3 linked regions of the Drosophila melanogaster genome follow. The protein of the gene in region 1 purifies or fractionates together with the protein of each later gene. This does not show direct contact. Each region holds a gene or a part of one and is shown in the gene's direction. Other genes may lie near its edges.

The links.
Region 2: the proteins of bel (region 1) and Cap-D2 purify together in Drosophila melanogaster (affinity purification with western blotting, with the first as the bait; one study listed by BioGRID). This does not show direct contact.
Region 3: the proteins of bel (region 1) and vig purify together in Drosophila melanogaster (affinity purification with western blotting, with the first as the bait; one study listed by BioGRID). This does not show direct contact.

The regions. Positions count from the first base shown.
Region 1 is NT_033777.3:8,654,250-8,665,629, reverse strand, and holds bel (belle), read left to right. Parts: upstream 1-4,868; 5' UTR 4,869-5,622; coding exon 5,623-5,667; intron 5,668-7,242; coding exon 7,243-7,615; intron 7,616-7,786; coding exon 7,787-9,652; intron 9,653-9,723; coding exon 9,724-9,845; 3' UTR 9,846-10,655; downstream 10,656-11,380. Other genes in the region: CG8032 (uncharacterized protein), read right to left, coding at 1-193, 881-1,147; p (pink), read left to right, coding at 1,904-1,987, 2,070-2,570, 2,649-4,544. UniProt on the Drosophila melanogaster protein: ATP-dependent RNA helicase that is essential and required for cellular function, larval growth, and for male and female fertility.
Region 2 is NT_033777.3:29,672,638-29,682,810, forward strand, and holds Cap-D2 (CAP-D2 condensin subunit), read left to right. Parts: upstream 1-3,013; 5' UTR 3,014-3,092; coding exon 3,093-3,219; intron 3,220-3,296; coding exon 3,297-3,768; intron 3,769-3,828; coding exon 3,829-4,724; intron 4,725-4,784; coding exon 4,785-4,926; intron 4,927-4,981; coding exon 4,982-5,069; intron 5,070-5,123; coding exon 5,124-7,541; 3' UTR 7,542-7,620; downstream 7,621-10,173. Other genes in the region: ppk19 (pickpocket 19), read left to right, coding at 1-637, 703-855, 917-1,046, 1,096-1,285, 1,343-1,586; Bub3, read right to left, coding at 1,638-2,426, 2,480-2,671; CG7582 (uncharacterized protein), read right to left, coding at 7,854-8,427, 8,490-8,659, 9,209-9,229.
Region 3 is NT_033779.5:15,062,346-15,073,404, reverse strand, and holds vig (vasa intronic gene), read left to right. Parts: upstream 1-3,088; 5' UTR 3,089-3,259; intron 3,260-3,308; coding exon of another isoform or gene 3,309-4,371; intron 4,372-4,534; coding exon of another isoform or gene 4,535-4,922; intron 4,923-4,975; coding exon of another isoform or gene 4,976-4,999; exon of another isoform or gene 5,000-5,023; intron 5,024-5,326; exon of another isoform or gene 5,327-5,489; intron 5,490-5,715; 5' UTR 5,716-5,777; coding exon 5,778-6,468; intron 6,469-7,948; coding exon 7,949-8,215; intron 8,216-8,456; coding exon 8,457-8,971; 3' UTR 8,972-10,474; downstream 10,475-11,059. Other genes in the region: vas (vasa), read right to left, coding at 1-718, 778-1,067, 4,535-4,922, 4,976-4,999; solo (sisters on the loose), read right to left, coding at 1,362-2,982, 3,309-4,371, 4,535-4,922, 4,976-4,999.

The DNA.
Region 1 (11,380 bases):
GCCTCAGAAAGCAGACGTACGCCTCGTAGATCTCCTGAAGTATGTTAAAAGGCACCTGGTGCCCGTCCTCCGTGGTGGCCACCACCTTGTGCGGTTTCGGTACGTTGACCACGCTGACTAGACCATGTTGTACGGCCAGCTCAAAGATGGGATTGCCCAGAACGCCGTGTATCCAGTTGGCGCCAAGTTCTATCTGTGAAATAGAAGTGTTTAAATAGGAACATCTCAGATAAGTAGGCAAAGCTTAACATTTAACTTTCTAGTATAAAAAAGATAAGAACTGACCTATATTAGATAATTTAGGGGCGTAATTAGTACATGTGAAGTGAAACAATGTGGAAAACTGGAAAAATAATAAATTTTTCAGTCCCATAACTAAGACTACGTGATCGTTAGCCCGCAAACCCGTGAGTTTTTCAGGGCATTGCACTAGATACGTCATCATTGGCTTAATTCAGAAAACCCCTATCTAATCTGACAAACGTTGCCGAAGAAAGTTGTATAACAAATTTCTTGATAAGGTGCCGCCAAACCGATCAAAACTATGCTAATGAACGGAATGAAAATCGTGAGTAAGATTCACGACAGATGCAATTACATTAATTACCCCCATGTAAGCATATGTAACAAATAAAGCTAACAATAGGCAAATAGAGGGAACAGGAACATGTATAAAAATAGCTTTAATGAAAAGCGTGAACAGCTGACCGACTGCGCAGTCCGTGGAAAAATCTATAATCAACTGGCTGGGGCGAAGAATGTGTTACAACATGCTCGTGGTTTTTCCGAGTCGGAAGTGTTTTTCCTTTAATACCATATGGTCGCCTATGATGGTTTGTTTTGGTTTTTGGACTTGAGGGGGTTATATAACAAATGGTACCTTCTGATTATTGCTGAGCGGTATGGACACAATGCGTCCGCCCACCCGGCCCCGTGCCTCCAGAATAAGGAAATCGTCACAGCCGTTTTGCAAAAGGTGATTTGCAGCCGATAGGCCAGCCATTCCAGCTCCAATGATCACGATCTTAACGTTGGTATTATTCCCTGAAGTTTGCGGCTGATCCCCGGCTCCAGCAGACCCAATATTGGCCATACCCTCCTCCGTGGGCGAGGGAGCGGGTGTTACGGGCTCCTCCTTGTCGCCCATTGCTACACTTTGGCTTCTATGTACATAAGCGTTTTAATTGCGGATACCCGGTGTTTATTTGTTATTTTTCTAGTATCTTTCACGCCGCATTTCAATTTTTCTGCAGGTTTTTTCGCTTGGCGAGTCGCGCGACTGTTTTGACGTTTACTTGACAGTAGGTTTATGGGTTGGGGGAGGTAGCAGCGAACAGCTGTTCGGCTGGGTGGTAAATATCCAATTTTTTTTAGTAAACATTGTGTAATAATAGTTTTATTTTTATGTATGGGAGTTTGATAAGCGATTTTTTCAGAAAAACGTATTTTAATTGAAAGTTTGAAGGATAAGTTTTACGACAGCTGCTGGTCGCAGTATTGCCAGACTTGAAGCTTATAAGGGTAAACAAGCCAGCTGTCATTTTACAGCACTAAATGTATCGATACTTTAACGTCTGTGATTTCATGAAACTTTTGATTTTAATATACATTTCAAATTGAAGATTTGAATTGTTTTAATTAAGACACTAACAAGTTTATTACAAAGTATTTGAAATAAAAAGTAATCGCTCTAATCACACTCCACTTGTTATCGACCACCTGCCAGCACTAACAGAGCTGCCAGACAGTTCCAACGACCTATGTACACGAATTACTCGTCGCGCTGATAAAAACATAATTTTTGTAAATAAATGCATGCGATGTGCAATGCAATAACGTAATCGCGATTTCAAAGCGAGCTATGTGATTAACGAACGCTTCGGACAACGAAAAAGCCCACAAGATGGCCGACGCCTACTGCCTGACGAACTTTATTGATTTTTCGCTGTCGCTGTCGCTGCCGCTGAAACACCACAATCGCATCAAGGTGAGAGCAAGTCAATCCAATTGAGTCTCACCCGCAATTTGATAGCAGACCATTCACTAATGCACGCCCTTCCTCCCTTCAGTACACCTGCTTCGACATCTCCGACAGCTATATCATTTTCGGTGCCTCATCCGGATCGCTGTATCTGTTCAATCGGAACGGCAAGTTTCTGCTCTTGATACCAAACAAGCATGGAGCGATCACCAGCCTCAGCATATCGGCAAATAGCAAATATGTGGCTTTTGCAACGCAACGTTCGCTCATCTGTGTTTATGCCGTGAATTTGTCCGCGCAGGCCACGCCGCAGGTGATCTTTACGCACCTGGACCAGTCGGTGCAGGTTACATGCATCCACTGGACGCAGGACGAGAAGCAGTTCTACTATGGCGACTCTCGCGGACAAGTCAGCCTCGTGCTGCTCTCCTCGTTCATCGGACACAGTCTGCTGTTCAACATGACAGTGCATCCGCTGCTCTACCTGGACTCTCCGATCGTCCAAATTGATGATTTTGAGTACCTGCTGCTGGTGTCCAATTGCACCAAGTGCATTCTGTGCAACACTGAGTACGAGGATTACAAACAAGTGCGTTTGTGCGCTGGTGGCTAAGCCAATCTGATCACATACAATCGATAAACTTTTACCTCATGTCATATTTTTCAGATTGGTAACCGTCCGCGGGATGGAGCCTTTGGCGCCTGCTTTTTCGTCTCGCCGCAGGAGTCTTTGCAGCCATCTCGTATCTACTGCGCCCGACCAGGCAGTCGCGTGTGGGAGGTGGACTTTGAGGGCGAGGTGATACAGACGCACCAGTTCAAGACGGCCCTAGCCACCGCACCGGCAAGGATTCAGCGACCTGGTAGCGGAACAGACGAACTGGACGCCAATGCCGAGCTGCTGGACTATCAGCCGCAGAATCTGCAGTTCGCAAAGGTACAAAGGTTGAACGATGACTTTCTGCTGGCCTTTACAGAGCTGGGACTATATATATTTGATATTCGACGATCGGCGGTGGTGCTGTGGTCCAATCAGTTCGAGAGAATCGCCGACTGCCGCTCCTCGGGATCGGAGATCTTTGTGTTTACGCAGTCTGGCGCACTTTATAGTGTCCAGCTGCAGACGCTGCAATCCCACGCAGTTTCTCTTATACAACAATCCAAATTGCTGCCTTGCGCAAATCTACTACGCCAGCATGTCCGATATTTTGCGGACAAGGCTCGCGAGGATTACGAACTTAAACAGCTCAATCCGCTGAAACAACTACTCATCGAGCGGCAGGAGTACGAGCTGTTGAACGATATATCCGTGATATTTGATGCCATAACTCAGTGCACAGGCAGTGCTTTGGATACGCACAGCTCGGGAGGCAGTTCAGCCACCACTGAACGCAGTTTGAGCGGCGGAAGTTCATCGAGAGCTCCGCCGAAGGGAGTGTACGTGCTGGAAAACGCATTCTGCGACAACTTGAAGCAGCCTCTCAAAACGGGACACTTCAAGGATGCGCTGCTGACGGTAACTGGTAAATTCGGCAAGAACATCATAAAATACAAGTTCAATATTTTTGCCGAGGAACAGCAGCAGTTGGTCAGGGAACTAATTCCAGCCAGCGAGCGTTCTCTGCCGTTCAAGGACATCAAAGCACGCTACGAGTCGGGAAGCGAGGATCAGGAGGAGGAAATTGTTAGGCGCTGTAAGAAACCGGCTCCCCAGGTTCCCCACATCAGTCCCGAGGAGAAGACTCTTTACAACCTCTACCTGATCGCCAAGAGCGCCAAGTTTAGCCGGACGCAGTGCGTCGATCGTTATCGCGCTGTCTTCGACGAGTATGCAGCTGGCGAGCTGGTGAATCTGCTCGAGAAACTAGCCCAGGTGATGGTAGAGCATGGGGATACGCCTGACCAAGCGCAACGCAATTGCTACGAGATGTATTTCGATTACCTGGATCCGGAGATGATCTGGGAAGTGGACGACGCTACGCGGGATCACATAGCTGCCGGATTTGTGCTGCTAAATACTTCGCAAAATGCGGAGATTGTCAAGTGTGAGCATTGCTCGTTCCCCCTTCGCTTCGATACCTCCTGCCAGTATCATGAGCTTGGAGCAGTGCTCCTGCGATACTTCTGGTCCCGTGGCGAGCAACTGAAGTGCTTTGATGTTGTTCAATCAGTGCCGGCACTATTAGACGTCTTAGCTAAATTTTACCTAGCCGAACAGAATCTCACCAAAGTGGTGGCCATCGTCCTCAACTACGGACTCCCCGAACTTCTGGCTGACGTGGGCAAACAACTGAGCGTGAGCGCATGGGGCCGCTGCTTCGAACAGTTCGTGGAACTGCAACGCGGCGGACGACTGGTGTGCGCCAACTGCGAGTGCATATCTGGCGTGGAACAGGAACAGTTGGGACGCCACTTCTTCTACAACTGGAACTGTTTCCTCAACATCGCTCTGGATCACATGTCCGCCGGGGACACGCTGGCGCTGATCTTCAAGTGGAGCTCATACATTCCAAACGACGCTATCGACCGGGAGTTCTACTCCCGCTGCCTGCTCAAGGGCTGAACGATATGAAAATTATTATTATATACATATATACGATACTTTATAGCCATATTTATTGTTCCACTAACTAATCTCAAGCTAAGGCCAATACCAAAAGCATTTATTCTATATAAACATGTACATTCACAATATGTATATTCTGAAGACGAAAGTGAATGAATATATTCCAGAGTTCGAAACTTCGAATTTTAGTTTTCTTTAACAGACTTGGAGGGAACTTGAGTATGGAATTGTTTGGAAATTTTTAATACCTATTTTACGGCAATCACATATATATACTAAATTTCAAATTTAATTTGAATTTCTTTGACTTTTGCTTCAAATAACGAAATGGGGTACAGCGGCTGACGCCTTATAAACAACTATTCCTAAACATAAACACAAACATTTTTGGCCTTTAAGAAACAAAATTTAACTGCCCAGCCTCATTTCTCTTCCATTCAAAAAACAACAACAGCCTAGAAGGGATCGACGCGCCGAAAAAGCAAAAGTGAAAAAATTCAATTTGAATTTCATAGACCGCGAGACGAGGATATAGATCTGGCAACGCCCTTGCCGGAGTCTTTGCCAGTAACCGCCGCCGAGAGCCCAGGTTGGAGTCTCTGCTCTACCTCCACCGACCGCATCTATCGATTCCTCATCGATATACGTGCTAAAGCAGCCCTGATTTTTTAGACACGCGTCTGAAAGCGGAAAAAAACGTGAACTCGTCGGAGAAGCAGCATTTTCCAAGCCCATAGCGCTTGTAATTGTAATTGTTGGCACAAGCAGGCCAGCCAAATCCGATACGGAAACGTCTCAGTTTCAAGCCGAACAAAGGGAATTGTGTGCGAGGAACGAAAAGAACCCTGAAATTTCACACGAGAACGCAGTAGCTTGTGGAACGTAAGAAGTTTTTTGTCGGAAAAACTAAGGAAAAACGTATAGACACAAAGTGCAACACCAACACAACGATCGTATACATTTTTTTGTCGCAAATTGCAAGTGTGCATTCAAAAAAAAAAATTCAAAGCGTAACCATTGCAAAATTTTCCTAAACGGAAAGCAAGAAAAAAAAAGCAACTGATTGGAGGATAATATGAGTAATGCTATTAACCAAAATGGCACAGGTCTAGAGCAGCAAGTAAGTAGCGTTTTTAACTGCTGAAAATACCATTTACCATCTATATAAGAATGGAACACGCATGTGTATGCGGTGGCTGTGTGTGTGTGTTCGTGATGCTCATGCGGCTATTTGAAAAAGTTCGCCTAGAAATTTATTGATTTCATAACACACTAATGTCTCTATCGCTCGTTTTACAACGGTGAATTGTGTCGGTGTCAATGGCTTGCATATATGTGCGTGTGTGTGTGCGCCTGGGTCCCTCTTCGTCATTCCAATTTGTAATTTCTTTTGTATAATTTTTGCTCGCTTGCCTCCAATTTGACATGTATAATATATACATATGAAAGTTTCCATTCGGCCTCTCACGTTGAGTGTGTCGTGTGTGCGAGCAGTGCCGCTGTTCTAAGGCTGGTCGTGTGTGTGTGTTATATCTCGCTCTCTCTCGCTTGCTCACACATGTGGAAGCTGTTGTAAATAGGGTTGCCAGGAGTAAGCGATCTGGTGATTAATTTCAAGGGTGATTTGGCAAAAAAAAATGGAAGAAAAGCAAAGCATGTAATCTACATACACTATTTTAACAAGCCTTTGTTAGGTCCTTAAAAAGAATTAAACTTTATTAGAGATGTGAAATAAACAAACGTTAATGCTTTCAAATGGAAATAGTTTAGTTAAATACTACTATTTCTGTATGCCTCAAATGCACGCAATGAATCTAGCAACGATCTAGCCGTTAAGTGACGCCCCACAAAATCTGCGAATTACATATTTAGCTGCCTTTGTTAATTAATATAAATGAAGAAGGCAAAATATTGAATATTACAAGATATACGGGAATAATAATCATTGTATACATTTAAACTAGTTCTTGAAAGAGTTCCCTTGCTTTCATCACCATTCTGTCCACTTGGGTCCCGCAACCGGGCTTTGTGTTTTGCCCCTACGGTGCGATTTGTTTTCCCATGTGTGGGTGGCTCGTTCACGTGTTGTTTTTGTTGGGTTACCAGGCGGACTCTCTTTGTGTAATAGCTTGCCTGCGAGTGCGAGAGAGACGCTTACAGGGAGAGCACTAAATTCGAAGCTTTAAACTAGTTGCGCCTCTCTCTATCTGTGTATTCCGGAGATTTGCACGTACATACATATGTATCTATGTATATATACACGTTGCGTTGCTAAGAGGAAGAGCGGTAAATAGCACATGTTGCTAAGCGGGAACGAATTCATTTTGGCAGTTCTGGAGAAAATTTCCCCGGCGAATCTTTTGCCAAACTGTTGAACTTGATTCTTGAACTGGTGCCGGCTAACTTACAGGCAACATATGTTAATTGGCCATGTGTACTATAAATCAATTGTATTAGTGGAGCAAAGATTATTTGTGTAGCTTAGTTTTGCATTGCTGGTATAGATCTTATCATTAAATGCACTGTGTTCCCGTAAACTTGGTATATAACAAAGAAAAGTAATCTTAAACCAATGATTAAGTACAAAAAAAATAGAACAAAACCTATAATTTAAGTGTTAGGAAACCACATTTGATGCCACATTTTTTGCACAAGTTCTGAAGAAGACTAACCATTTAATCTTTATCACTTGCAGGTTGCTGGTCTGGACTTGAATGGCGGCTCTGCTGACTACAGCGGCCCCATAACCAGCAAGACTTCCACTAACTCGGTCACCGGTGGTGTGTATGTGCCCCCGCACCTTCGTGGTGGTGGTGGCAATAACAACGCAGCGGACGCAGAGAGCCAGGGCCAAGGACAGGGCCAGGGTCAGGGCTTCGACTCCAGATCCGGGAATCCGCGCCAGGAGACTAGGGACCCTCAACAGTCGCGCGGAGGCGGAGGCGAATACCGCAGAGGCGGCGGCGGTGGTGGTCGCGGCTTCAATCGCCAGAGCGGCGACTACGGTTACGGAAGCGGCGGCGGAGGACGACGTGGAGGCGGTGGACGTTTCGAGGACAACTACAACGGTGGGTACTATTGGCTAACAGGTGGTCTATTCACTATCAAGAAGCACAAGGACATTTAATTAATTTTTACAGCTCCATAATGTAATGATCCTTAAAATCGTAATGCGTACGACTTATACTTGGTCCTCTAATATGCCCATATTATTAGAGAAAATGTAATTACTTTTGCAGGTGGTGAATTCGATTCGCGTCGCGGCGGTGACTGGAATCGCAGCGGCGGAGGCGGCGGAGGAGGTCGAGGATTTGGACGCGGACCATCGTACCGCGGCGGTGGCGGCGGAAGCGGTAGCAACCTCAACGAGCAGACTGCCGAGGATGGCCAGGCACAGCAGCAGCAGCAGCCGCGCAACGATCGTTGGCAGGAGCCAGAACGTCCTGCCGGATTCGATGGCAGCGAGGGCGGACAGTCTGCCGGCGGCAACAGAAGCTACAACAATCGCGGCGAGCGCGGAGGCGGCGGTTACAACAGCCGCTGGAAGGAGGGCGGCGGCTCAAACGTCGACTACACAAAGCTGGGCGCCCGAGATGAGCGCCTGGAGGTGGAGCTGTTCGGCGTGGGCAATACGGGAATCAATTTTGACAAATACGAGGATATACCCGTGGAGGCGACGGGCCAGAATGTGCCCCCGAACATCACATCGTTCGATGATGTGCAGCTGACGGAGATTATCCGCAACAACGTGGCCTTAGCACGTTATGACAAACCGACACCGGTGCAGAAGCACGCCATTCCGATCATTATCAATGGCCGGGATCTAATGGCCTGCGCCCAGACTGGATCCGGCAAGACGGCCGCCTTCCTGGTGCCGATTCTCAACCAGATGTACGAGCTGGGACATGTGCCCCCGCCGCAAAGCACCCGGCAGTACAGCCGGCGCAAGCAGTATCCGTTGGGTCTGGTGCTGGCGCCGACCCGCGAACTGGCCACCCAGATCTTTGAGGAGGCCAAGAAGTTCGCCTATCGCTCCCGGATGCGCCCGGCAGTGCTGTACGGCGGAAACAATACTAGCGAGCAGATGCGCGAGCTGGACCGCGGTTGCCATCTGATTGTGGCCACACCCGGTCGCCTAGAGGACATGATCACACGCGGAAAGGTGGGACTGGAGAACATTCGATTCCTTGTACTGGATGAGGCTGATCGTATGTTGGACATGGGTTTCGAGCCGCAGATCCGTCGCATCGTCGAACAGCTAAACATGCCGCCAACCGGACAGCGCCAGACGCTTATGTTCTCGGCCACATTCCCCAAGCAGATCCAGGAGTTAGCCAGCGATTTCCTCAGCAACTACATTTTCTTGGCCGTTGGTCGTGTGGGCTCCACATCTGAGAACATTACGCAGACAATCCTGTGGGTCTATGAACCCGACAAGCGCTCGTATCTGCTGGATCTGCTCTCGTCTATCCGCGATGGCCCCGAATACACCAAAGACAGCCTAACACTGATCTTTGTGGAGACTAAGAAGGGTGCAGACTCGCTGGAGGAGTTCCTGTACCAGTGCAATCATCCCGTCACTAGCATCCACGGTGATCGCACGCAGAAGGAGCGCGAGGAGGCACTGCGCTGCTTCCGATCGGGCGACTGCCCCATCCTGGTGGCCACAGCCGTGGCCGCTCGTGGCCTGGACATTCCGCACGTTAAGCACGTTATTAACTTTGACCTGCCCTCGGATGTGGAGGAGTATGTCCACCGTATCGGGCGTACCGGACGTATGGGTAATCTTGGTGTGGCCACCTCCTTTTTCAACGAAAAGAACCGCAACATTTGCTCCGATCTCTTGGAGCTGCTGATCGAAACGAAGCAGGAGATCCCCAGTTTCATGGAGGATATGAGTTCGGATCGCGGACATGGCGGAGCCAAGCGGGCTGGACGAGGCGGTGGTGGACGTTATGGTGGCGGCTTCGGCTCCAGGGATTACCGTCAAAGCTCTGGCGGCGGCGGTGGCGGACGCAGTGGACCGCCACCACGTAGCGGTGGTTCCGGATCAGGAGGCGGCGGCGGCAGTTACCGCAGCAATGGAAACTCGTACGGTAAGTTTGGTGAGTGTGGAATCATCCATCAGCAGTAATCAGTTTAAAGGCAGAAACTTAACAGTGGATTTCCTTTACAGGCGGCAATTCGGGCGGCGGTGGATACTATGGCGGCGGCGCCGGTGGTGGCTCCTATGGCGGCTCCTACGGCGGCGGCAGTGCCTCGCACTCTTCGAACGCACCCGACTGGTGGGCTCAATGAGCAAGGCCTCAGCTTCAGGCAAAGGACCTGGGCCAGCAGCAGCAGCAGCATCAGCAGTCGCATCGTAGCCACTTTCGCAAATAACCAAACGGAGTAAAACAAAGTCGATAACAACTATATATGTGTACACACGTATACTATATAGGAACAGCAAATGTGAAAGAGAAACTGTCTGTGCGCAGCGCAACACAAATCACGAAAATACAGAAAAGATACACAGATGCACCCTCCACCCCACCCTCGTTTAGCAATTCACTCCTCTCTCACAACCTCAAAAACCAGGAGCAAGCGTTAATAATAAACTGTGCAAGTCCATCGCGAAAGTATATTACATTCATGTATAGCCAGCCCAAGCCGCCCTCCATTTCCATCTCACCCATCATTATATTTTATGAATTCGATGCGCGTAGTTGAAGGATATGCAAGCAAACACATACATATTTAAAATATGCTAAACAACCACAAATATTAAGAATATTTAAGCAAATGATAAAATTTTTGAATTTTTGTCCATAAGTTACAATTCTCACACATCATTTTTCTTGGAACTCTTAATATACATATATATATATATATATATATGTATTCTTATATATATATATATATATATCTAGACATAAATATTGTCAATGTCGGATCGAAACGATGAAAGCGCAAATCCTTGAACTTCAATTGATGATTTTAAACGAAGAAAACATAAAAATAGTAATGGTATATATATTATTAAATATATAGATCGAGATAGAATGTACTATATGAAACAAGAAACCAACACAAACAAGTAATTAAAACAAAAAAAAAACAAGTTTGCTAAACTAAAGCTTAATAATTTAGCAAATGAGAAAAAGAACTCGCATGGTTGTTTTTAATTTTTTCTGCATTTGGTGTAACAGGTGATTTTTTTGGGATTGGCAGATCGTGTCCGATAACGCTGTAAAGCACCAACGTTTACTAATTCCTTGGCGCCCTATTATCTTTTCATAAATATGTTCAATTAAGATTTATTTACTTACTGATATCACTTTTTGAGTTAGCTCCATTGATAAGAATTGGCAAGTTGCCTGTTCTTTGGTTTTAGTTCAGTACGCTTTTCGAACCAATACGTTTCGATGTAAGAGATCATTGGATTTTCAACCGCGACGAGCTGCTGGCCATATTATCAAAATAATTAAGGAGTGGAATATCCATAGGATAGGTTAGTAACCTTTAGGAGCTTCTCAGATGAGAGCTTTGTCGCCGGTTTCCCAGCGGCAAAGCTTCAATTATGCACATTTAAGCAATCAGTATAATTGAATGTTCGAAACGTGGGGAGCGAGAATGTAAGTAGGAAATGCATCAAATAGTGCCGAGGATGTGACGATCGTGGCGATGCCTACCCGTTTGCTAATTAGATTAGATAGGGCAAGTTGATTAGTTTGCTCTGATGTTTTCTAAAGAGGGGAGCTTGTCGATTTGTCGTTGTTTGTTTGCCAGATAAATTTGCTTGAACAGCAAAGCTCTACGCTTCTTGATCGCTGGATTTTGAAATAATAAAC
Region 2 (10,173 bases), about 21 Mb from region 1:
CGCCATCGTCCTGGGAGCGGTGATCACAGGATTCAGTCTGTACACCGTGCTGATGCATCGCCACAGCGAGCAGCTCCTGGTCAGCCTGATAGAGACCACCCAGTTGCCAGTGTACCACATCGACTTTCCAGCTGTGGCCGTTTGCCCCTGGAATCATTTCAACTGGCAGAGGGCTCCGTCGGCATTTATCCGCTTTCTGCCACGTCATCCGAATGCCGAGCTCCGGGAAACATTTCGCCAGCTACTCGCCAGTATGGACATTATGAACTTCTCCAACTTTAACCGGATACGGATTCTGACCAAACGAAATCTGACGGGAATTAGTTATCTAAAAATGACGGACCTGATGAACTTCATGACCTATAGATGCGATGAACTCTTCGTCGCCGATTCCTGCGTCTTCGATGAGACTCCCTACGACTGCTGCAAACTTTTCGTACGGGAGCAGACGGTGAAGGGCCAGTGCTTGGTCTTCAACTCCATGATTTCGGAGAACTCGCGCAAAAAGCACCTGATTAACCAGTTCTATCCCCACAAGCTGAGCACCGCTGGCGAGGATTCGGGCCTGAAGTTCACGATCAATGCAAGCTACTCCTTTATGAACAACATAGACGCTCTGACTCCATTTGGAATGAATGTAAGTCCCTTAGTTGCGTCACAGTTTGCTCATATTTTGTTTAATTTTATTTTTTGGTTACTAAGCTCATGATTAAGGAACCACGCCAGTGGTCCAATGAAATGATGTACCACCTGTACCCGGATACGGAGAACTTTGTTGCTGTGCATCCGCTGGTCACGGAAACCTCTCCAAATACCTATGAAATGAGTCCCAAAAAAAGACGTTGCTACTTTGATGTGTGTATAGCTTGCAACTAATAGGAAAAGATAATCATAATAATAATTCCTTACTCCATAGGATGAAAAGAACCCTACCTTCCAGAACACTTCGTTGACTTATAACCGCGAAAACTGCCTGGTGGTGTGCCTCCACTTAGTTGTGTGGAAGACCTGCCAGTGCTCGCTGCCAGCTTTTCTGCCTCCCATTGGTAATTATCGTAATTATTCTATTACATTTTAAATTTTTTTTTTTTTTAGATGGAGTTCCGGAATGTGGAATCAACGATGCACAATGCTTGGGCAACAATTCCGATATATTCACTTACGTGAAGATGGGTGATCAGGAGAAATACATTAACGACTCACGACAGGGTCACTTTTGTGATTGCCCAGACAATTGCAATTCACGGCTGTACGAAATGTCACTTAATGTGCGCAAATTGGATTAGTAAGTTCAATGTATATATTCTTAAAGAACAGATAATTAAATTCCCCTCTCTTTTAGCCCAAAAAACTCGACAGATCAATTGATAAAAGCCCAGGTTTATTATGGCCAACGTGTCATGACCAAAATCATTACGAAACTCAAGTACACCAATATAGATTTACTGGCCAACTTTGGCGGGATCATAAGTCTGTATATAGGGGCCTCCGTCATGAGTTTTATAGAGCTTTTATTTGTGCTGGGAAAACTGATGTGGGGTTTCATCAGAGATGCGCGCATAAAATTGAAAGAGTATACTAAGTAGCTTACTTTAAAAAATGATGTAAAACTTTGCCGTAAACAAGTATATATAACATTATTTCTGTTTAGTTTCCTGGTCCGTGGGATAGCGTATATAGATAGCCGGATGTGGCACTGTAGCCGGCGTCTCTGGCAGTTGGTCCAAGTAGGAGCAGCCGATGGCCAGGGCGCTGCCATCGGAGCTGAAGTTGAGCGTGGATATGGAGGTATCGTATTCGTGGAACTGACAAAGGCGCTTCTTGTTGAAGCCATCCCAAATGTTCACAATGCCATCGGATCCGCCAGTGGCGAACGTCTGATAGACATTGTGGAAACTCAAGGCATTAACGGGGTAGATCTGTTCGATATTCTGCTCCCTATTCCGGTGGCACTTGAAAGCGAACTTGCGGCGCTGCACCTCAGGATCGTGATCCAGGTACTCCACTGCCACCCGTCCCTCGATGGAGGACATCACGTAGCCTTCTTTGTTGGGGAATAGACGAATGCAGCGGGTCTGGTACTTGAGCGAGGACTCCCGCTTCATGATGTAGCTGTCCATCTTGCGAAGGTCCCAGATGAGCACCTTGCGGTCGGAGGTGGCCACCACGATCTTTTCGTCGATCACGGACATGGAGTACACCTTTCCGTTGTTCTGTTCGAAGGTTCCAACGCAGCGCTTCTCCCGCATGTCCCACAGCTTCACGGTATTGTCCCAGCTACCCGTGAGGATGCCATTGACATACTCGGCGTGCTCCACGCATCTGATGGGCTCCTCGTGGGCACCAATTATGCTTTCCGCCTGGGTGTTGACATCAAAGAGACGCAGCTGGTTGTCCAGGGAGCCACTGACCACGTGCACTATGTCCTGCGGATCGTTGGTTGAATAGGGGATTGTTAATGTGTACGAAGGAGTCTCACCATGAAGGCACAGTCGAGAAGAGGGGCATCCTGCACGAATTTCTGACGCAGCTGGTTTGCCGGCACATCATAGAATCTAAGTGTTCCGTCCCAAGAAGACGCCGCCATGTATTGATTCGATTTGGGGCCGAATTTCACAGCGGAGATCAGGTCCTCCGGCGGATTGTTAAGCTTGAACTCTGGGGGACGCATTTTGTCAAGTTTTCTGCTAGCAACTTGTGGATAATAAAACAATAAATTCAAACAGAAACTGCTTAAAACAAATCAAACTCCGAATTTGCACGGCGTCTGGAGAAGAGATGCGAGTATTTCGATATCACTATCGATACATTGCATATTTGCATCAAGGGGACTCCCTAAACAGGTACACTTTTAATAATGTAAAAAATTTTACAAACCCCTGTTAAACCAATATAAATTTAGTTTTTGTGGTAAGTATCTATCTGATAAATACACCCTCTCATTATGAGCATTGTAAGCTTGCAGTCAGCAGTAACCGATAACCGATATCAAGCGATCGATTTGGCGGCGAATCTGCCCATCTCTATAAGCGACGCCACTCAATTCAGAAGATACAATTATTATTTCGCGGTAAATAGGAGTAATAACCGCCATGGAGGAATCGCACGACTTCCAGTTCGTCCTTCCCCTGAATGCATCTGATCTGATCAACTCCAGCGGAGATCAGTATTACGTGAAGGAGATTTTTGGCGCCCAGGAGATTCCCGCGAAACTACAAGGTAAGTTTCCGTTTTCGCGGTTGGTTTTTAAATTGAGTACAGTTTTCGGACGCGCAATCTTCATGTTTCCTTCCCAGAATGCAAGCGCAAAGTGCACTTGGGCGATCCTTTTTATATATTCGAGCACTTCGACTTGTATTACTCGATCATCGAGGCCCGCGGTTCAGATGGCGCCTCTGCACAGAATCTAATGAGGTCCTTTGACCTGCTCTACCTGACCGTGGAGAAACTGTTCCAAGACTTGCAGCCCCTGCTGACGGCCAGTGAGCCCATGTCTAACCAGCAGCGCAATAGTTACCTCAACCTGACCAAAATGACGCTGTTCCTCCAGGTGAGCACCGTCAAGAAGATCAACAACAGTGTCCAGCAGGCCATGCGGGATCAGCAGCTCAATGTTCAGAAGAAGCGTGCCAAGCCATCGGAGGGATTGGAGCAGTTTCCCAACTGGGAGGTTAAGCGCGGCAAGTTCTTGGTGCAGCTCTTCAACGTGCTGCAGTGCCCGCTGGAGAAGCTCTGGAGTCCGCCCGTAGCCGAGGAGGACTTTATAAAGTAAGAGCAAAGCATTTAGCATCCTATTTCTTCGATCTGCAATGTATCCATCTTCCCCAGTTTGCTCTGCGACCCCTGCTATCGAACAATCGAACTTTTGCCGCTTCGCATGGACAACAAACACGTATTCGACACGATCTTCCAGATCTTGGGCACATCGATCAAGCGCTTTAACCAGGCCATGACCTTCCCGGTGCGCATTCTGCAGATCCTACGCGGTACCGAGCATGCAGCCCATTCAGTAGCAGCTGGAATTTTGCTTCTGCACGAGGAGTACGGAATTTCTTCGGTCTTCTCCATTCTAATCAAGAGCATTGTGGATGCTCTAAGGATGGACAGTTCTGACTCTTCGGTGTCCAAACACTTCTCCAATTTCCTGGCCGAGTTCTCGAACATAGCACCTTCGCTGATCGTACCGCACCTGGAAAAGCTGGCGGAAGATTTACTAGATTGTCAGTCTCACACGCTGCGAAATTGTGTGCTCCAGATCATCGGCGACACCGTGGTTAGCGAACTGACCTCGGAGGATCTTAGCGAAGAACTGAAGGAAGTACGCAATGAGTTCCTCGAGCACCTAATGGCCCACATCCTAGACATTTCTGCACACGTGCGCTCCAAGGTGCTCAGTATCTGGCATCACCTGAAAACCCAGCACGCCATTCCGCTTAACTTCCTGACCAGAGTGCTGGAGGAAGCCATCGGAAGGTTGGAAGACAAGAGCTCGCTGGTGCGGCGTGCCGCCATGCATCTGATCAAATCCGCCCTGGAAAGCAATCCATACAGCAGTAAGCTTTCCATAGATGAACTCCGTGCCAAGCATGAACACGAGGTGCAGGCAATGGAGAAACTTAATGAGGTACTCGAGGAAGAGCGCAAGCAGGAGGAGAAGCTCAACGACGAGTTTAGCAGCTTGGCGCCCGAACTGCTGCCTTTCATAGAGGAGAACCTTACGGAGTGTGAGTTCATGCAGTTCCGCTAGTTCGACGTATATATTAAAGTTTATTGTTATATTACAGTTCCCGATATGCAGTTCGACAAGGAGGAGAGCGACGAGACCTTGATGGAGCGGATCATTCCGCTGATGCGCGAAAAGAACTACAAGGATGTTATTGTTCTAGTGCGAAAGGTAGACTTTTTGGCGGGAAATCAGAATATGAGGTATGTTGCTAATCAAAGATGGTTTTGTTTTACCATAAATATATTTACTTTCCAGTTCCTTACTGAAGCACGAGGAGCATTGCGTGTATGTGCTGGCCTTGCTAAAGACATATCACCTGCTGGCTGCTGGATTTAAACAGAGCGTATGTTTAATCTTAGAAAGTTATATTCCCTTCTAACCAAATCTTTTAATTTAGAGCGAGGAAATGCTGCAGCAAATCAAAACGGTGCAGTTCCTAAAAGACAGCATTGACTTTGCCGTCTTGATGACTTCAGCCTTCCCCAAACTGCACGAGATGCTCATGTCCAAGACAAACACGGATGTTTTTGAGGCGGTGGACTTGTTCACCACCGGGTACATGTTCGGAATTCACGGCACGGAGTCGGGAATGCAGAGAATGCTGCAACTGGTCTGGTCTTCGGACAAGGAGAAACGAGATGCAGTGTCGGATGCCTACAAGCGCGTTCTGTTCTCCACGGACCAAACGGGTCGCGCTCATGCCATTAAGGTGGTGCAGAACCTGTCGAAGTTTCTTTCGGAAATCGAGTATGGTCACTACACGGCCTTGGAGTCGCTGATGACCGAGTGGGTGTTGGGTGGCGACATCGATGCTGCTGTCATCCAGGTGCTCTTTGAGCGCTTCACGCTAAAACTGGAGGGCACTACATCCAACGAATCTCGCCTGTCGCTCCAGCTCCTGATAATGGCCTCGCAATCGAAGTCTAGTATTGTTTCGGCCAACACTGCCATCATCGAGGATATCGCCGTCGGAGAGCGGGTGCGTCGGGATCCACGGATATTTACCTCCTGTCTGCAGCTGCTGGTCAACTCAATCGATGCAAACAACACTGCCAAGTATTATAAGCGTCAGAACAGCGATGCAGAATTCGTGGGAAAGATCACGCGGCTCTTCCTCGACTTCTTTTTCCACAGAAGTCTATACGACTTCGACGCACTGGCCATGAGTGTTTTTGAATACTTCTATAGGATGTGCCAGGCGCCGGATGTGATTGCGCAGCAACTGGTGACGGCTTTACTCAAGCAATTCAATGAGAGCTGGCTGGTCAAGGAAGCGGCTGCAATAGTTCCCTCTCCAGACAAAGCGGATACGGAAACTGTTCCGGACTCGCAGCCCTTGGAGATTCCGCATTCGCAGACCCTTACTCCCACTCAGACTCAAGCTGATAGCCAATCGCAGATGCAAGGCACCTTGATTCCCGTGTATCTCGTCTCCCGCTTAATCTTTTGCATCGGCTACATGACCATCAAGGAGATGATCTTTCTCGACATGGATATCTATAATAACATGAAGTATCGCGACGAGCTGACGGCTCTTGAAGAGCGTAAAAACCGCAATCAGCAGGCGGGAAGTTCACATAATGCGGCCAGACTTACGCTTAATATGTCAGCGATGGAGGTGCGCAAGAGGCTGTCCGGAGTGGCAGCGGAACCACAGCAGGAGCCAGACGACGATCTGGTGGGAGCGACTGCAGAGGACAACATCGCCGAGGAAATCCACGGCATCTGCGAGGACATGCTGCTTTACAACCCGGATGCTCTGCTCTCCAAGCTGGCGCCATTTATCATAGAGATTTGCAAGCGTCCAGGTGAGTTTGGTGATCCCACGTTGCAACAGGCCGCTACTTTGGCTCTGGCCCGGCTCATGACCGTCTCCTCCCGTTTCTGCGAGTCCAACATGAGCTTTTTGATGAACATCCTCAACCTAACGAAGAACATTCGAATCAAGTGCAACACGGTGGTGGGGCTGTCGGATCTCACTTTCCGTTTCCCAAACATCATCGAGCCGTGGACGGGGCACTTCTACGCTCAGCTGCACGAATCGAACACCGAGTTAAGGCTAACTGCCGTCAAAATGCTATCTCATCTGATCCTCAACGAGATGATACGCGTCAAGGGTCAAATCGCCGACATGGCACTTTGCATTGTGGACGGCAACGAGGAGATTCGCAATATCACCAAGCAGTTCTTCAAGGAGATAGCCAACAAGTCGAACATTCTGTACAACGTCCTGCCAGATATCATCTCCCGTTTGGGGGACATAAACCTCAACCTGGATGAGGACAAGTACCGCATTATCATGTCCTATATCCTGGGTCTCATCCAGAAGGATCGCCAGATTGAGACGCTAGTGGAGAAGCTGTGTCTGCGCTTCCCGGTAACGCGGGTGGAGCGTCAATGGCGCGACATCGCCTACTGCCTCGGCCTGCTCACCTACAACGAGCGAGCTGTGAAGAAGCTAATGGACAATATGCAGCACTACAGGGACAAGGTCCAGGTGGACGAGGTTTATCAGTCCTTCAAGCTCATCATTAGCAACACCAACAAGTTGGCCAAGCCGGAGCTCAAAGCTGTAGTCACCGAGTTCGAGAACCGACTGAACGAGTGCCTGCAAGTCAACCCGGATACCGCTGCCCAGGGTGATCAAGAAAGCACTCCAGAAGGTCAGGGCAACAGAACCAGAGCGGCGCCAAGGACAAAGAAGGGTGGTCGCAAGCCGGCGGCCAACAGGAACAATACTGTGCGAGGACGCGGAAGACGTGCTCGCCGGGATTCCACCTCAGAAGAGAGCTTCAGTTCCAGCAGCAGCGACTAGTTCGTGCTCCATCTTAAGTTACGATCTGAGCGGGTTTTTAATGATGTACAAAGATGGTTTTTAATAAAATAGTTAATAGAACCTATTATTGATATATTTATTACTTTGAAGTCAACAAACATCTAGTAAACTACTAAGATCCGTTTCCACATCCATCAGAAAGGGAACAAATATTTGGTTGCACTAAGCTACTGGGATGGGGAAACCAACACACGTAAATGGCAATACTCTAGACGCTTTGGAAGTACTAAGTTTGGTGGTTGCGTTCATGTTGTCTCTGGGCCTCCGACAGATGAGCACTGGGCACTGGCTTCACTTAATTTTCTTGCGAAGGGAGCGCTGGAGGGCAGGACCGTCGTCCGCGGTGCTCAGCGCAATGGCAAACTGGGCGGCGTAGTAGGTGATCATGATCTGGAGGCGGGCGCAGGGCAGGGGCACGCCCACGAACATGGTGACCGCGATCAGGGCGTCGGAGATCACAAACAGAATGGCTCCGATGGCACAGAACACGGCGAGGAAGTTCCTGGAGTCCACGGCGCGGGCCAGCGATCTCCACAGCATTGTGGTGATCAGGAAACAGTAGATGGGCACTCCGATGATGAGAATCTCGTCCAGTTTCGTGTGCACGAAGTAAACAACTGGGGGTTTCAAATATTCCAGGTAAGGTATACGTATATAATGACCAGTAAACTTACAAAGCGATACGGCCACGTACAAGAGCAGTCCAATGAACCACTTTATGGGCTTCCAGCCAAAGGCGCTGATATAAAACACGTGCGCCACTCCAAAGGAGATCATTCCGAAGGGAAAGAGATTTATGTTGAGCAGAGCATCACCACCACTCGAGAAAACCAGACCCAATAGAATCCAAAGTGAGCGACGGTATCTGTTAAAAATTTCTTGTTAATAAGTAAGTAGTATATAGTATTTCGATGCTATAAAGCTTACTCCTTCTTGAGCGAGATTCCCTTGGCCACCACATAGAATACAAGCGCGAAAATGGGCAGGCATTTGAGCACGGTGGTCCATAGCTCTCCTTGAGGATCCTTCCTCACCAGCGAGAAGTATAGGACAATAGTAACCAGGAATGGCACCAACTTTGGGCCTTGCGACTTAGCCTATAATCGATACATAGTACATAATTTTAAATATATTGCTTTAAGTATTTACAATAATTATCTTAATATGATTACGAGGCTTAACATGTTGCCTGGTCTTAAAATAGCTTAAACGATTATAACAAATCGAGCCACGGAGGTCCAAACTACAGCCAAATCAAGTGATTAGGGAAATCGAACCGTTTCGGGGGGCAGATTAGATTAGGGTTGGTTCTTGGGGTTGGCTCGACGGAACCTCGTCACCAAACATAAATGGGCTTTGCATGGAATTATTAAGGGGGGGTCTAATGGGCTCGGGTGGTGGGCGGCACTCGAGTGGTCCTTCAAACTTTCGCTTTCAATGCAGGAGCTTTCGAAGTGCGCCCGTCCGGAGAACCGAGAGATGTGCAAGGTCAAGGACGAAGCTTTGTGTGCTGCGTCTTGGTTCCACTTTCTGCGTTTAGATAGAGCATCCGCAATGCACACATATACATATTTCGCATAATTTCTATATTATCAATGAAGCTTAAGACCGTGAGATTCCTGAATTCCAGAACCTGCGCTACTTACGAACTGCCCGAAATCGTTCATTGCGGCCGTAATTAGTGCAAATTACAACTATTAGAGAGGGTTAAAAAAAAATCCGAGCCAGCCAAGCTGCACTTTCACACGATGCGAGCGCGGAATGGAAAATAAACAAAACTATACAGTGCCCCCCCGAAAATGAAAACAATGGAAAAAGAACACGTTGCGCACGGTCGGCCAACGTCAATAAACTGAGGCGTATCATATACATTTTCGATTCGCTGGACTGAAAAGTTTCCGATTGCTGGAGAGTGAAAAGTTTTCAGCCGGACATGTGGTGTGCAGCATATGCAGCATTCTGCAGATACGGATATCCCACAGATACAGATACAGATACATTTTGCGGGCCCAGGAGGGCAGATTGATTATTTCTTACCTTTGCCGTTTGGTGGAGAGCGGGAAACTCGGAGAGCGCTGCTCACGCAACAGGTTAATTGAGAATTGACCGTTGGGCAGAGCTTTTCCGCCAGCATCAGAATGTATCCGTGAGATACACTCATGCGCACTCGCTCTCCGCTCTCCGCTCTCTTTGTATCTTCAAAACAATGCAACAACCTCTGCACACTTTCACTTGCCAAAGCTTTCTCCGCAAAGCTTGGCTGGCTCCGGACTTTTTCGCCACCTTACTGTGGCCCAAAGTTCATTCCGTTTCGGATTGTGGCATTTTTCAGGCGTGCGAAAAAATTCCTCAGCGCTCCAAGAATTTCCACAGCAATTTTGGTCACTGCTTTAAAGTGAGCATAAAGCCAAGAGGCCAGCGAAAGAATTTTTATTTTCTTAACCAAGTAAGTGCTAGCCCAAAAGTATGCTATTGTTAGGCGTTCGAGTGTCCCAAGTGGAAAAACCTTGCTTGATTGAGCTGGAAAATTGTGTATCCGTGGGTGCTTCCTGCAGGCAAATACACACTCCTGTAGAAAGCAGGAGGTGGTGAAAATTAAAGCTGACCAGTG
Region 3 (11,059 bases), on another chromosome or scaffold:
TATTAACTTCGTATATGGTCTGCTTCACATCAGAGCAAGCTCCGCCTACAATGCCAATGGCGACGAAAACGTAATTTTTAAGGAATTCGCCGGCCATTCTTTGGATTTCTTCTGGAAACGTGGCGGAAAACATCAATGTCTGATGTTCTGGACGCATAGTTACATGCGTCATGATTCTTCGCATGTCTTCTGAGAAACCCATATCTAGCATGCGATCGGCCTCATCCAGCACAACGAATCGAGTGTCTTCAAACGTGATAAAGGTCCGATCCACGAAATCCAGAAGTCGTCCCGGAGTGGCGATCACTACATGGCAGCCTCTGGTAATGCACTCGTTTTGATGTCTGAACGAGGTGCCTCCGTAAACAATACCGATCTTTAGATATGACTCGAAAGCAAACTTCCTCGCCTCGTTAAAGATCTGAATTGCCAGCTCCCTTGTTGGGGATACAATCACTACCTGGGGTCTTCCAAGCTCCAGTTCATGGGGATCCTCCAACAACTTGCTCAAAATGGGCAACAAAAAAGCTGCCGTTTTTCCAGAACCCGTCTGGGCACACGCCATTAGGTCTCGACCAGAGGATATTACTGGTATGGAACACTTTTGAATTGGTGTCGGTATTTTGTATCCAGATTTGTTTACATTGTCTATAATAATATCTCTCAAATCAGCGCTCGTAAAATGTTGTATAGGTTGTGGAACATCGCTGCCGGTCACCTAAAGAAATATGATTTATACCGATTGAAGATCTTTTAATATAAATTGCATTTTGTTACCTTAACCGGTATGTTGTTGTATTTCGAAAAATGAATCCCGGAAGCTATGCCACTGCTGAATATCTCAATTGCATCGTTGGACGGCTCGGGAGGAATATAAAACTCTCGCTTCCTTTCGACATCTTCGACGATATTATTATTATTATTTATATCATCTTCATTTCGACGGCGCCTCGCAAAACCACCGTCCCCTCTTTCACCACGTTCACCGCCGCGTTCCTCCCGATCTAGTCTTCCACGACGTTCACCGCCGCGTTCCTCCCGATCTAGTCTTCCACGACGTTCATCACCTAGAAAATATTTGATTTTCATAACAATTTTATTCACTTAAATTTAAGCAGACGAAATACAGTTCATAAAAATTCATAACCAAAACTAAAATTCATTTTTAAATTGTGTATTTTATTTTAATACTGTTTCTGTACCAATTTATTAGCTAATCACGGACAATATAACAATTTAATGTCAACGAATAATAAGAAATGGCGATGATTCTAATACCACGTTCAACTTTATTAAATTATTTAAGCAAACTAATATTAAATTTTTTTTGTATTTTTAAAATTAAAATGCTTTTTATTTGATTAGAGCAGCCCGAAAAATCTACCATCCGAGCTAAGACTTATAATATTTGCAGTCTTAAGCTCGAGTAAAAAGCGATATGCCATCAACGCATCCTTGCGATTTCGGATGAATGGTGCATTGTGCATATCAACCTGGGACTGTCTGATAAGAGCACCGAAGAGCCCATGAACTACTCTCATCTTATCCTTCTGAATGTTCTGAATTATACGTGGATCGTAGACTTTGACAGCGGGCATTGTACTAAAATTTAGCGCGCCTTGGCTATTTTCCTTAAAAGGCCCCAGGGAGCTGACCTGTGCCCCTAGTTCCTCTTGACGATCTACCATCAGACGAACCACATTAGCGTGTTGTGAAATATATGCCAAATCGTTCATGGACACTCGATATAGTTGATTTTGCATTGATGTTCTGCGGTCACTTGGCGTTTGCAAATCATTTGTTGATGTCGATGGGGCGATATTTACTGCATTGTCTGTAATATTGGTGCTAACAAGATTCAAAGAATTGAGTTGCAACGACGGTAGTATCTGTATATCAGTCACATAAGCGTGATCGCTCATATTGGCCAAAGTGTTTGATACCTCCAGTGGAACTTCGTCGACTTCCATTGGCATTGGTGGAACCGATGTATTCATCATATTAGAGATGTCCATTTTTTGGGGTTTAATTTCAATTTCGGTTTTAGGTCCGAAAACAGCAATTGGATGCTGACCTATTGGAGTGGAATTTATGGGAGGCAGTAAGGCCAAAGCTTGATCAAATGATGCTTGGTCACTTGATGCATTTCCAGATATCTCCAAGGGAGCTACTACAGGAAGATCTTGAGAGAACGCTGCAGATTGCATACAAGCCCCAGAATCCGAATACCCTGTTGCCTGTGCAACTTCTAGGGAGGTCGTCGTTGCTTCTGTGGTCGGTGGTACCTCCTCTTGTAGTACATTTCGGGTGATATGGACTGATGTCGTTATTTCTTTCACTGAACGGGTTACTGCCAGACCTGAAGACGTCGTCACTTCTCCAGCTGCATTTTGTAGCAAGCTGGACATAAAAGTGGCTGCAATATGTCGGCTGCTTTGGAAGGCTTCCTCGCGACGGACAATTCGTTCCGGTGTTAGTTGCGGGCTGGCAGCTGAAGCGATACGATTACGTCGTCTGCGTGTACGCGAGCGACGACGCGCCCTTTGTGTTTGGCGAGGAGGTGGACCTTCGGCATAGTTAACCATTTCATCACGTGGTCGGAAAATCGAGCCCCACTCACGTTGCTCGCTTAGTGTTGTCTCTTCCGGCGGGAAAGCAACACTCATTTGCAGCTCGCGTGACACCCTGGTAAAGCGTAGATGATGCTCTTCGTCAATGACCGGCAGTCTAGGTCGGAATGATAGTAAAGGTGTTGATGCTGGAGGGCCTCCAAGCCGAGAACGAACCACTGTTGATCCTGGATGTCCGACTAAGCGGGTTTCATCCGCATCAGCTGGTACCACCAAAGTGTTGCTATCCATTTCTAACCCCAATGAATGCTCTGCTGGCAGTGATGGAGCCAACGGTGTCGATGCAGCGCCGCCTGCTGCCAATGATGGTATGGTCCCATCTTCGTAAGTCAAATTGGGTATAAAAGACAAGCTGTGAAACGGACATTACTTAGCTTATGTGTTCATTTAAGTTATAGAGAAGGAAACGAAAGTAAGCGAAGAGATGGAAAATATGTACATATAGAAAAGTAAGCTGAATTTATACTGCATTAAGGTACTTCTCTAATCAAATTTCCTATAAATTGTTTCGGTGTCTGGCTAAATTTGGTGTTTTTTTTTTTCTTTTATGTAATCTTTAAATGTTTGAAATCTGCTCTTTTCTACACAACCGCTCATTGGAAAAAGGGAATAAAAAGTATCCATAGATGGTAAGAAAGAAAAGCGCTAGACTAGACTAGTTAGAGTTGGTTTAAGTACCCTGGATCGCTCCTATGTTCATTTGGGGTGCTCGAAGCACGCAGAGCCACAACTCTGCCGGGGACTCCGGTTGCGGAGCAGGGAGTCTCCTCATCTCCAGTTGCATTGTAGCGACTAACGTAAATTCCATCTGGCGTTTCCTGATTTTGCGACCGCTGATGTCGTGCCAAGTTTACCATACTGCTGAGCTGACCACTACTCGAATTGTTTGGCTCGCTCGCAACAGTGGCTATTATGCGTGTCCTAATTAAGGGCTGAGAATAAAATATGCCTTTTTGATGGACCGTCGAAATGTGCTGCTTTGGAGACTCTGGCCAGTCATAAGATTGAAAAACCATATGCGGACTGCCAAAACGTACGGCCCTTATTTCATGCCGAGTGACAAAGTTCTCACTTAGCCAGTGCAGAAATCTAGTCACTCCATATGTTGATCCATCCACTTGATTATTTTCTGGGTGTTCTCGGTCTTCTGTTGGAATAGAATCTTCTCTCAATGCTCCTTGATTATCATCATACAGCCGTCGACCCGTTTGGTAACCTCGATCCAAAACCTGATGATACACGGCGTATGCGGCGCTTTGTATTTCGGTTAAGTCATCGCCATCGGTTAAACCTCCTGATCGACCGCCCTCAGTACCGCTTGTCCTGTTTGTTTGTCCATCTCTGATCTCCGAAGATTGCGGCATCACAACTTGCTGTAAATTCCTCCATTGCGACAAATCAGCTCTGCAATCCGCATCAATGCTTTGAAATCCCATCCCAATCCCATTTGCTTCCTCATGTTCACCTTCACGAATCAATCGGCCCATGTCCTCCATAAGGCGATTCATCATATCTGTTGTTTCGCGTATCTGATGTGCCTTTTGTGCACGCTTTTCTTGAGCTAATTTCTCGAGAGAAGCCCATGCTTGGTTCACCAAAGCCTTAAATGCAGTCAGCAAGTAGTCACGCAATTTTCGAATCAGTGCTAGGCTGGTCGTGTACTTGCTCAAGTCCAGCTGATCGATGAATGCGCCCACCTCATCCTTATCGCAGCTAGATGGGATCGGCGGCAGTTCCTTAGCTAGAATGTTGGCCAATTTGCCACCAATTGGGCAAATATGCATACACAAAACAAAAGAAAACAAACTACTTGACAAAACAAAGCACACCACATGGAATTCAGCAGGAATGACTCAAATGACCATAACCCAAAATTTAACATGTCGTCCAAAAGGTTTACTCACCATCCTCGTTTTCGTACAGCCGACCGCGGAAGCCGCCTTCTCCACCACGGAAGCCGCCTTGTCCCCCGCGGGAGCCGCCTTGTCCACCGCGGGAGCCGCCTTGTCCACCGCGGAAGCCGCCTTCTCCACCGCGGAAGTCCCTTTCTCCCTCGCGACGTCCACCGTGGAAGCCCCCTCCATCTCGATTTCCTCCTCGATAACCTCCAGCTCCTCCTCCTCTGCCTCCGCCGATCCTTCCGAACACATCTCGATTTCCTCCTTGGTAGCCGCCGCCTTCACCACCGCTCCCTCCAACACCATCGCCTTCAGCTTCGCCGCTGAAGCTCTTGGCCGTGTCCTCATCATCGCTCCAATCTCCACCGCGGGCGCCGCGAGTATCAACAATGGGCTAAAATAGATAGGCTTAGTAAGCATATATTCTTTGTACGAAGCAATACGAACCTCATCATCCCAGTCGTCAGACATATTGATATTTTTTTTTTAATTTGGCTGAAAGAAAAAAAAATTAATTCTATATAAGTATAAAAGCAATAACTTAATACGTTCATTTCTAAAGTATTGAATTATGAATTCTTATAATATATGCTCCAACATTTTGTACCAATTTATATAATTTGCTCAATTTTTCACATATTCTCCAACTAATGAAATTGGCTTGCACTTCAAACTAAAAAGTGCCCGCCAAATCGAGAGCCCGCTAAACACAGCTGCCATTCGAATCGATTTGCGACATTCGCCGCGAAACGCGTTGAAAAACGTGAGTTTCTGTTTTTCTATGTATACCAAGAACACATGTGGGCGCTCTGTTCGTGCTGACTGTGGTGTGCGTGATTTGGCCCATGTGCGTGTGGAATCGCGTGAGGCAGTGTGTGTAGGTAATACTAGCAGCGAGGCGAAGAAGAAACACTGAAAATTAAGGTTAGAGAGCAGCAGCCACCAAACAGCCAGCAGAAAAGTAAGAAAAATCCACCCAAAGGGCCTAAATAAATTGAGTAAATTCACGTTAGTCCACGTGTTAATGTCGTAAACCATAAATCCAGCGAATATATGCCATATTAGACCATAGTTTGTGACACGAAAAAGAAATCCTATCGAATCTCACAGGGTGTGAGAGGCGGCGGGCGAAAAAGGAAAATCAATCAATTCCCACTAAAACTGTGTGTATTTATTTCTTTTTACAGAGCAAAAAGGCAATTAAAGCGGCAGCCAGCTAGCAACGAAAAACACACCCACCCACAAAATCATGGACAGCGCCGGTAAAAATCGTTATGAACTTTTGTTCATGGACGACGATGTCAGCGATCCATTAGATAATCTTGTGGCGCCGACGGCCGCTGCTGCCGCAGCAGCAGCTGGCAAGAAGAAGCAACCGTCAGCTGCTGCTGCAGCGGCCACCAAAACGACCGCCAACAAGGTGGCCAACAGCAATAACAAGGCGAACGCAGGATCCAATATTGGTGGACCCAATGCCAAGAAACCAAATCAGGCCGAAAAGGAGAACAAGCCCAATAATGCGTTAAACAAAACCGATGGCAAGAAGTTCACTCCATCGGCCGACAACAAACAGCAGCAGTTCAATAATAACGCCAGCAGCAATTACAAACAACAGGGTGCTCCACGGCAAGGAGGTGGCGCCAACCGAACACGTGAATTTGGTAGCGGTCAAGGACAGGGTCAAGGACAAGGTGGCCAGCAGCAGCGCAGCGTAAACTTCCGTCAACAGAATGGCAATGCCGAGACTCGTGAGCAGCGCAACAATCGCCGCAATGTCCGCGAAAACGTCGGAGCACCCGATGGCCAGCAGTCGCGACCTTACCGCGGACCAGGTGGAGGCCCAGGTGCTGGCGGAGATCGTCCCCAGCGTCAGAACCGCAACTACGATGGCCAGAACAGGAAGCGCGAGTTCGACCGCCAGTCGGGTTCCGATAGAACTGGTGAGTGTGTGGTCATTTCATTAAGGCATTAAGGTACCAAATGGGTTAGGGGTCAAGTCAAGTAGATACAGTGTAGATCACATTAAAGTCTTTACAGAGAAGTATACTTAGTAAAAAGGATAGAGAAGATGGGATATTTAGGGAGTAAATCGTTTAGATTAATGACCATTTTTTCGCATATGAATAGTTAATGTTTCTGTTGATAAGATCGAAACTAAAGTTGAACCACCAAGGGGTAGACATAACCATAAAACGAGCGCGCCCATACGAAAAAATTAACAAATAAACCAAAAGCCACACTCCATGACAACCAGAAAATAAAACTCAGCAGGCAACGCAGGAAAAACAAATTCCATCCACAGTTTACGCGTAACCAATTACCATGTTTATAGTCATGAGAAATTATTAGTCGCCTTCAAGCAACATGATTCCAATCTTCTGTGTACACAACAAATATTTAAAAGAAACTGGAATTCGTTCGGTGTTTGAAATGCGATTCCTTTTAATAAACTATGTGAAATTTCCATCAATTGATTTAAGATTTCTATAGCTAATCTAAATCATGAATTTAATGTATTTCAAAGTATAAAATATTTATTAGCCTGCTCCGAGCAGATTGCCAATCTTATTTAATGGATAGTAATATTTAAACAGTTGCATTATAAATCAGTTTAAATATATATTGTTTATGCCAAGCAATTTCACGAAAAGTGCGGGAGAACGGTGTAAACCAATTTGTGGCACACAAAATCCCGATGAACTTATGGGCAATGGTCAAACAACACAGGCAAATCTCCCACTCACGTGGGGGATAAGTGAGTCAAATCAATACTAATGGTCGGACAGAACATTCAACAAGCTACATCACACTTCTTTCCATTGAATGAAATCTATTTCGCCGCGTTTTCCCCCGTTTTCCACTGCCTGCTTAGACCGACCGCTTCGTTTTTGGAATATCCAAAATTATAATATCACAGCGGCCGGCAGCAACAGAAACAAGAAGCACTGCGGCACAAATCGAAAGAGAAAATGTGTTAAAAATAGTTCGCCCATCTTCTTGGCGGCATTCCCGTCTAACGCAAGTGCTTGTAGGAGGCCTTTGCAGGCATAATCATTGGGGGGAAACAGGGGTTGGAATAGTTCCCCCACTGAATCTGATTACAGTGAACTGGGGCTGCTACTGTCGGCTTATCTGTGACTATGCGAGCGAGGGCAGTGAATATAGTCCCCCTATCGTGGTTACTTCTCAATTGACCTAATTAGTGGGGTATTGATAAAATAGACCATTATTTGGCTAATAATTAAAGTATTCAGTTAATAAATTAAGCAGAAAAACTTACTTTAGGGCTTGCAGGCAAGTTGCACTATAGCTGTGGCTAAAATTTGCAAATATAGAAGCTCAGATTTTCCGCTTCTTGACGTTTCTGAATTTAAGCAGACATAAATCATTATTAATATTTGATACTTTCTTTATGCACAGGTGTGAAGTCAATTGACAAACGCGATGGAGCTGGCTCCCACAACTGGGGATCGGTCAAGGAGGCTATTGATGATGTGAACAAGAACGAAAGCGAAACCAATGTGACCAATGCCGAGGGCGGCGCCAAGGCCGATGAATCTGGCACTGAACCACAAAACGAGCAGGCTACCGCCGAGGAGGAAGCCAAAGAGCTGACCTTGGACGAGTGGAAGGCACAGCAAGGACAGCGCATCAAGCCAACCTTTAATATCCGCAAGGCTGGAGAAGGTGCGTGAACAATGCATAATTTTTTTATGGTTAATAATTTGAATTCGATACCACGGAATGATAGTTTAACTTCCGTTATTCTAAGAAACCTTTTCGCCAAGCCAACAACCAAAGTTACAAATCATATTGAGCTAAAATCCGTATAAAAGAAGTATAAAATTGAAAATCAAACCGATCTTAGCTTAACTCTAAATGATGGCCTATCATCTAGAAATTAATCTACAATCAATATTTCCCGCAGGTGAGGACACCACACAATGGAAGAAAATGGTCGTCCTAACTAGCAACAAGAAGAAGGAGAACGACAGCGAAGAGGAGCTCGAGTACGACCCTGCCCTTTATCCACAGCGTGTGGGCAGGCAACAGCGCGTCCTGGACATTCAGTTCAATTTCAACGATGGTCGTCGTGGCGGACCTGGCGGTTTCGGTGGACGCGGTGGCCGTGGAGGCCCCAGACCCGGTGGATTTGGAGGCGGACCACGCAGCGAGGGTGGCAACCGCGATGGCGGCAATCGTGAGGGCGGCCGAGATAATCGTGAGGGTGGAAACCGTGGCCCACGGGATGGCCAGCAGCATAATAACGAGGGCGGCGGTTCATCCGCTCAAAATCAAAGGCCACCCATCGATCGTCGCGGTCCGGGAAACAACCAGAACAACAATCAGAACAGCGGTCCAGGGCCGAATAAGCGTTTTGAGCGACAACAGAACACCGCTCCCAAGGTCAACGATGAGCGTCAGTTTCCCACTCTGGCTTAAATCGATCGTTTTGGGCAGGAGTAGGTTCCTCAAATTGCAGTTTTGGTTACTGACGATGGTGAATGAAAGCAGCAAGTTACCAAAATGAAAACTTATAAATTACGTATATCACAGACAACAAACTTTTTAAAAACTAAAAGAAAAATGGGGAAATTACGAAAACAATTGTAGCCGCCATTATAAGCCAAAAGCAACAAAAATACCAACCAACAAGCTAAGTAAAAAAAAACGGATAATAAATTATACATATGTTTAAAGATATATGAAAAGAGAACACACGAAAAGCAATTTTAGTTTATACGTGGCCAACTAAATCAGATTTTACACGATAAAATCGCGATCAAGCAAGTGACCTCGTGTAAACTAGTCAGTGTCAGGCTAAGTTATCCTCATTATGGACTTTATATCTAGTAGCTGTTCACAATACGAGATTTGTTTCGAGATTTTTTCTAAAACGGCAGGGGCGGTCATGGAAATTGTTTTATTGCATCAACCAAAACCTGATGTGAAGTTGTTTATTTTTATGTTATTACCACTCACCTAATCAAAAAATCATCCTACCTTATAAAAACAAATTACAGTCGCTAACCAGTGATCAAGGCGAATAAAATAAACTAAAGATAAAATATATAATATTCAACATCACGGCCTGATAAATTCTTCTTTGTAAAGAAGAAAAATACACTATTACAATAGTTTGTTTTCATCGAGAGAACAGTAAAAGCATTTTCATTACTCATAAATTTTTTTGTTCAATTACGAATCAACTTTTCGTAGCGAAATGTACGCTTTATTATTTTTACTATGTTAACGTTTATTTAAAATAAAGAAAAACAAAAGGGAGAAATATAAAAATCAGTGGATCGTGAAAGAAACCCAAAACCGAAAGAATAGTAAGTGTTAAAACCTTTGTAACTGTGTTTCTTGGATGCAAATTCTATGATTAAACATTTAAATTTAATAATTAAACAGAGGACTATGCATCATATATACTACTTTTAATTATAAATACCTAACTGAACTTACACACACACACGGAAATACAAAAACAAAACAATATTAATTTAAGCATTATTAAAGAAATAAAAACAAAAAATATTGATTAACTATTGGAGCAAATTAGAAACCTTTAATAAGTAGATTATAGTTGGAGGGAAACTTTCAAAAATATCCATTTCGAGTCATATGAGAGAACCACTCCCGAAAACGCTAATTTGAAGATCCCTGTAAAATCGTTTGCCTACAATTAACTAGAAACTATGTAAATTATATGAGATATATATTCGTACATACATGGTAAAATCAATTTTATGACGGCGAAACAAACACACAAAGCAAAGAAATGATAGAGCAAATGAATATGGAGGAAAACGTAGATGAAAAAATATACGACATTTTTTGAAATATTGTATTGTATTTTGACCCAAAGAAACCATTCAACAAATGTTGAGCAACTCGTTTAAACATAAAACAAGAACATTTATTTGATAAAAATAAAGAACCAAAAAAACACTTGATGTAAGTTTGAAAATTTTGGGGCAAAAAAGAATGAAAAAGTTCATGAAAGAGCAAGATGTAATTCGAGGAGTTACAAAAGATCATAAAGCGAATGGTAAGTGGAGACGGAAAGAATTACGGAATGAAACGAAACCTAAACAAATCTAATGCAGTATTCTCAATTTTATTCACGAAAACCTACAATGAATGAATTCTTTGTTGTGCTTGTTCTTATACTTTTAACGGTAAGTTTTTAGATGGAATGCAAGTGTTACAAATTGGCAAACACATAAAACAAAGTTGCACACAAACACAAGGCGAAAGATAGAATAGACAGAACAGAAAAGCCAACAAATATGCGGAAAAGCAAAAAAAAAAAAATTGGACATAACCCAGAATGAGAAAGCCGAATAGGACAACATTTCAAAGCGTAAATCAAGAAACGCACACGAAAGAAAGATACGATGCCAATAACCAGAAAATGGGACAATTTTTACTTTCAACTTATTTTCTTTTTAAAAAAATGAATCAACTTTACACGCAAAATCTTTTTTTTATATTAGACCTTTCAAGATCCTGTTAGAATAGAAC